2 linked regions of the Ovis aries genome follow. The protein of the gene in region 1 purifies or fractionates together with the protein of each later gene. This does not show direct contact. Links are inferred from orthologs where the notes say so. Each region holds a gene or a part of one and is shown in the gene's direction. Other genes may lie near its edges. The genes, in order: CAPZA1 and TNKS1BP1.

The links.
Region 2: the proteins of CAPZA1 (region 1) and TNKS1BP1 purify together in Homo sapiens (affinity purification with mass spectrometry; 3 studies listed by BioGRID and IntAct, with this or other methods). This does not show direct contact. The link is inferred for Ovis aries from reciprocal best matches to the Homo sapiens genes CAPZA1 and TNKS1BP1.

What each region holds. Positions count from the first base shown.
Region 1 is NC_056054.1:90,059,547-90,062,416, forward strand, and holds part of CAPZA1 (F-actin-capping protein subunit alpha-1), read left to right. Parts: intron 1-214; coding exon 215-286; intron 287-2,115; coding exon 2,116-2,178; intron 2,179-2,870. UniProt on the Homo sapiens protein: F-actin-capping proteins bind in a Ca(2+)-independent manner to the fast growing ends of actin filaments (barbed end) thereby blocking the exchange of subunits at these ends.
Region 2 is NC_056068.1:79,343,681-79,347,499, reverse strand, and holds part of TNKS1BP1 (182 kDa tankyrase-1-binding protein), read left to right. Parts: intron 1-911; coding exon 912-2,543; intron 2,544-3,819.

The sequences.
Region 1 (2,870 bases):
ATTAACTAATAATCAGTTTTTCCTGCTAAGTAAAGAGAATTCTTAAATTTAAGTGTTCTGTGAATTTCAAGCGCCATTGTAAATTACCATTGGCCATATTAATTGTTTGCTCAGAGTTGGTGAGATTGAGGGTGACTGAAGGCATGGATTTGTGCTCTAAGCAGTAAGTTTCTATGTGCTCTAAGCACTTACATTTCTTAACTTTCTTGCACAGGTTCACTATTATGAAGATGGCAATGTTCAGTTGGTTAGTCATAAAGATGTACAGGATTCAGTAACTGTTTCGGTGAGTGTGGAATATTTAATGTATGTCTCACTTGTGTCTAGTTTCTCTTTTAGATCTTTTGATCCTGAGTACTGATTCTGCCACTAGAAATGTGGTTGTTTTCATTGCTTTGATTTTGGCAGCTTGTTTTTTTTTAAGAACTTCATTAAAGACCTTATTTTATTGTTTTTAATTTTTATTGAGTATAGTTGATTTACAATGTTGTGTTCAAGTATATAGCAAAGTTATTCATATATATATATACACACACACACATATATATATATACATACCTACTTATATTTTTTAGATTCTTTTCCATTATAGATTATTAAAAGATACTGAATACAGTTCCCTGTGCTACTCATTAGGTCCTTATTTTTGGCAGCTTATAATTGTTAGTATATAACCAACCAGTTTTGTTGGTTAGTTGATGATAGTTCACAGACTGACTGAGAATAGTGATAATGGCTTTAGAGAATTCATGCTGCTTTTTCTTTCTCTCGTGAGATTTGCTCAAGGACAGTAGTATCTTCAATTGATAAATACCAGGAGGAAGGAAAGTTTGCCAAATTAAACCCTATAGGATTTATCATTCATATCATTAGAGAAACTGAACATTTTTAGAAATGTTCAATAATAGTATTGTACACTATATCTGGAAAGAAGGGACATAATTTTTTATGCATTTATAGTACTTCTTAATATTCCTAGAAATTACTGAGCTTTTGTTTATGTGTGTTATATCTATCTACCTTAGTAGAAATTAAAATTGAAGAATATTAAAAATATGTATTTTTTAATTTAAAAATAACAGGGATGTCCCTGGTACTCCAGTGGTTAAGATACCATGCTTCCACTGCAGGAAGCCTGGGTTCAATCCCCTGATGGTAAACTGAGATCCCTGGTGTGGCCAAAAAAAAATCTAAAGCAAAATATAGCATTAACAAACCCATTACTTCTTAACTTTACTTTCATGAAAAACAGCTGTATTTTTCTGAGTTAAAAAAAGTAAGTGGAAAGAATATCATTAATTTACATTTTCACAAAGTGTGTAATGTCTAACTAATAAAAGACAGCTGGATATGTGCTTCACACATTAGCTCTCAAAAAGTAATGAAGTCGTCACACATTACATAGCTTCTATGAAACTACATGCACACATTTGAAAGTAGAAACGGCAAGTAACTATGTCTTAGTATTATTATGAATAAAAAGTAGTTTTGACTCTTCTGAAAGAATCTTGGGGCATGGCCCTAGGCATTAAATCTCACCCTCTCTAATTCTGTTTACTTAAAATTGCGAAAGGAAGTGTGAGATTAAATTCATTTTGTACCCAAATCATGTAAAGTGAAATGTGATTGGTTGTCTCAACATCATAAGGAGAAAATAGAGGAGCCTATGAACTTAGAAGATATACTTGATATGTCTGAGATCATTGTTTTTATCAATTAAACCAGAGATATTGTCAAGGCATAAAAATTTCAAGACATTGTGTTATCTTTTGGGCATACTGTGGTAGATTGGAAAGAAATGTGGATTGTTTTGATGAAGACCTACCTAGATTTGGATCCCATCTTTATGATTCAAAGGCTGTATAATTTTGGTCATTATTTGAAAGAATTCTGTTTTCTTGTCTGCAAAATGGAGGTGGCAATAATAACATGTATTTCACAGGGTTGTTTTAAAAATCAAAGAAGATAATGTGCACAGGAAAACTTGAAAAACTAGATTGTTATACAAATGTTAGTTAAGATGGACTTACTCTTTAGTATCTTTTTTATTCACTACTTATTGAATTTTATTCACTGCTTAAGATTTTTTAAAATTCTTACTATTCCCTCCATTAGAATGAAGCCCAGACTGCCAAGGAGTTTATTAAAATCATAGAGCATGCAGAAAATGAGTATCAGGTAAGATAACTTGAAACTGTTTTTTATAGATCTATATAGATTTTGCTTTTAACACATTTGTTATACTTCTCTATCCTTTGAACATAAATATACATAATTATTCAGTGATACTAAGTATGGAGACTTTGCAGACCTTGCAACTTTACATTCTGCTTACAGTCAAGGTTTTGGCATTGGAAGGTACTGCAGATATATCCCCATTACCCCAAAGTAGAGCATCCCTATGAAACCTTTCCAAGGCCAAATGGTGTAAAGCGGAGAAGCATTTACCTTAGAACACATCTTGCTATCAGATGTACAGAATGATTGAGATACTCCTCAGATCCTCACAGACACAGTTCACAGCTCTGGCTTGCTTGATGGCAAGATGCTGAGTGTAGTTCCCAAGGAAGGAGCTTGGTGGGGCCACTATTACTGCTCAGGGTGCACCCTGTCCCTGTAACAGCCTCACTGCCAAACAAATGGCTAAACTCTTTTTTTTTTTTTTTTTTTTTGCTTTGGTAAAAGCAAAGTGAAAGTGGTAGTCACTCAGTTGTGACCGACTCTGCGACCCCATGGACCTACAGCCTGCCAGGCTCCTTTGTCCATGGAATTCTCCAGGCAAGAATACTGGAGTGGGTTGCCATTCCCTTCTCCAGGGGATCTTTCCAACCCAGGGATTGAACCCAGGTCTCCTTCATTGCAGGTAGATT
Region 2 (3,819 bases), on another chromosome or scaffold:
GCAGATCTTGCTGAATCCTCTCCTGACCACGAGGTGGACATTGTTGCCCTGGCCCTGGGTTGCAGGTGGGGACGCTGGGGCTCGGAGAGACCCCGCGTGGGAAGGCATCCCGCCGACAGGGGAGGTGCTGGTGTCTCCCAGCGCTTTCACGGTCCCTGGGGCTTCTGGCCTGAATCCCGGGTCCCGCTGTCCCCCGGGCAGCGCTGGGAACGTGGATGCTCAGAGCAAGGGTGCGAGCTGCTCCCAGGAGCTGGTCTGAAGCTGCCCTGGGCCTGGTGGAGTCCCACCCTGAGGCCACGCACCCAGCCAGCCAGACTCTCTAGCTTCCTTTTGCCTTTCCTTTACAAAGCCAGTTGTAAAAACACATATTTTATTTGTTTACATACTCAGCGGCACTGGGTCCCACGGGATCTTTGATCTTCACTCTAGCTCGCGCGATCTACAGTGATGACATGCAGACTTTTAGTTTCCACACTTGGGATATAGTTCCCTGGCCAGGGATCGAACCCGGGACCCCCCTCATTGGGAGTGTGGAATCTTAGCCCCTGGACCACCAGGAAAGCGCACAAAGCCAGTGTTCCTGACCCATGAACCTTGGACCCTTAGGAACTCACATGAGCTTTGGGCTTGGGGGATGCGGGTGGGCGTGGTCTGAGTGATCCCCTGGGAATGGAGCGCTGTGCATTTTGTGGGGGGAGGGCCACACGGGAGGGTCTGGGGGCCCTGGCAGTCTCGGACGCCTGAGGTCATTCTGGAGCTTCTATTGGTTGTCCTGGGGCTGTCCCTGCGCCCCGGTTTCCCCCATGGAGTGAGAGTGTCAGGCAGCTAGCGCTGACCTGGGGTCTCTCAGGGGTGGGCAGGGGCCTCCCTGAGCTTGCGTAGCAGTGACGGCTCCTGACTTTCTCTTGCAGGTTCTCAAGCCCTGGGTGCCCCCTGGTCCAGGCCTCACCTTGGAGAATGGAGGCACCCCCGGCCTGGGTCTCCCCACTGAAGCCTTGGGCTCGGGCCCCAAGTCTCCTCACCTTGACTCCCTCGAGGGGGGCTCTCCCCTTCACCCCCACCGTCCAGAGGCCCAGAGCCCTGCTGCTCCTAGGCCTCCCTCCCTGCCCCCTGAGACTCTGGGCTCCCCAGCTGCGGGCCTCCCCAAGGAAGGCTCCCACCACCTGCCTGCGAGCCCAGGGGTCCCAGCCGTGGCCGCCCCGGAGGCCCCCAGACCCGGCAGCCCCATGGTGCGGGAGCTCACGGGGCACTCCAGCCCCGAGCAGTCCCCAGCCACAGCACCCCAGCCCCTGACGGAAGCAGGTGAACTGCCGGACCTGCCTCGGACGTTTGCATCTGGGGATGGCGCGGCCCCAGGGAGTGAGGACCGCCCTGCTGGCGGCCTGGCCCAGCGGCGGTTTTCTGAAGGTGTGCTGCGGCCTCCCGGCCCAGGCCGGGAGCAGCTGGGGGGCTCGCTGGTCACCCTGCCCCAGGCCCAGGGGAGCCCGTCCGCCCTGGACCACCCCTTGGGGAGTGGGACAGAGTCCAGCTGGAGCTTGTCTCACTCCTTTGAATGGACCTTCCCCACACGGCCTACAGGCCTCGGGGTGTGGCGGCTGGACTCCCCACCGCCCTCCCCCATCACCGAGGCTGCGGAGGCTGCAGAGGCCGCGGAGGCTGGAGACGGGGCCGTGTCTGCCTGTGAGGAGGCTGAAAACTGGGCTGCGTCCACCCGGGAGGAGGCCGGAGGAGGGGCCGCAGAGGCCAGAGATGGGGCCACGTCCACCCAGGAGGAGCCTGGAGGCGGGGCCGCGTCCACCCGGGAGGAGGCCGGAGGAGGGGCTGCGTTCACCCGCGAGGACCCCGGAGACTGGGCTGTGTCCACCTGCGAGGAGGCCGGAGGTGGGGCCGCGGAGGCTGTGGAGGCCAGAGATGGGGCCGTGTCCACCCAGGAGGAGGCTGGAGGCGGGGCCACGTCCATCTGCGAGGAGGCCAGGGACTGGCCTGCGTCCACCCGGGAGGAAGGCGTGTCCCAGCCAGGGCCGGGGTCCCCGCTGGCTGCAGAGGGACCAGGAAGATCTGCTTCCCGGGGGCCGGGGGAGGACCCGGGCTCCTCCCAGAGCCCAGTGGGCGGTGGGGAGGACCATTCTCTGGAGTCCTCACCAACAGCAGGGGACCCACCTGGACCAGCCTTGCTGCAGGTAGAGATACATGGGGAACGGGAGCCCCCTCCACCCGCCCAGGAGGCCGCCCTGCGCGTCCTGGAGCCTGTCCTGGGGCAGGAGCAGCCAGTGCCCCCGGACCAGCCCTGCGTCCTGTTCGTCGACGCCCCCAAGCCCGGGCAGGCGCTGTCTGTCGAGGAGGACCCCCTGGCCCTGGCCCTGGCCGAGACCACCCGACCCAGGACAGCGGTTCAAGACCCCCGCCGGGCATCCCCCGAGCCCACAGGGCCCGAGAGCAGCTCCCAGTGGCTGGACGACCTGCTGGCCTCGCCCCCGCCCACTGCACGGCGGGGTGCCCCGTCTGAGCTGAAGGGCGCCCCGACCCCCAGCGCCTGCTCTGAGGTAAGGGGGTCCCTGGGCAGGGTTCAGGATGGAAGTCAGGGGCTTCGGGGGGCCTCGTTGTTTCAACACGGATGCCCTGTGTCGGGAGTTTGGGATCCAGCCGTGAGCAGGCACCTCTGCCCCTGCCCTGGAGGTCCGTACCGTCGGCTCAGCTGGCAGAGCAGAGGGTATGGACTGCTGCTTAGAGTCTAGTCTGAGTCCGCATCTGACCCCAGCTTCCGTCAGCTGAGTGGTCTCGGGCACATACGCCGACCTCCAAGCTTCAGAGCCCTTTCACAATGATGACATTTGCCTCATAGACTTGGGGGCTTCCCGAGTGGCACTGCTGGTTAAAAATCTGCGTGCCAGTGTAGGAGACACAGGTTCAGTCCCTGCGATGGGAAGATCCCCTGGAGGAGGGCATAGCAACTGACTCCAGTACTCTTGCCTGGAAAATTCCATGGATGGAGGAGCCTGGCAGGCTGCAGTCCGTGTGGCCGCAAAGAGTCGGACACGACTGAGCGACCGAGGACACTTAGGTTGTGTTGTGGGCAAGACAGACGTGGAAAACGCTGGGTGCAGGGCTTGGCACCCCTGAGCGTTCAGTCTGTGAGGATGGGTGGTTTCATGAAGGGCGCCAGCAGAGTCAGATAGACGTGGGTCCTGGACCCAGACTGCCGAGTTGCTGTCTTGGCCCTGTTCCTGGCCCACGTGTGAGCTTGAACACATGACTTTCCTGCCGGCACCTCAGTTTCTGCGTCTGTAAAATGGGGAGAATGGTGCTGGGCTCTACCTCGCAGGGTGATGGCTGCAGTGCTTGTGAAGTACTCAGACTAGCGCCCATCGCGAGTGCTTGGGAGTGTTGCATCTTGGAATGTTCTTACTGTGAAGTTCAGACTTGCTTTCGTAGAGGCCCAGAGGAGGCAGAGCCTTGTGCAAAGGTTACCCAGTAAGCTGGCAGCTGGGCTAGGGCCAGAGCACCGATTCCAGGGCCAGTGCCCTTTCTAAAACTACCGGGCTGCCCAGCGGTTTCAGGGATGGGGTCCAGGTGGCGTTTGAAACGAACTTTTCACGCCCAGCCCGCGGCTGGCAGGGGCGGGGCTGGGGGGAGGGAGGAGCCGGGGCCTCTGGGCGGGGCCTGGGGAACGAGCAGGAAGGAGTTAAGCCCTCTGGGCTCCCGCGGTAGGTGTGTCCGTCCGCGGTAGGTGTGTCTGTCCGCCCCGGGATGCGGTGACTCAACTGGCCCCCGGGCGGGGCGCTGAGAGCTGCAGCTGCTCTGCAGGGAGCGGGGCCAGGG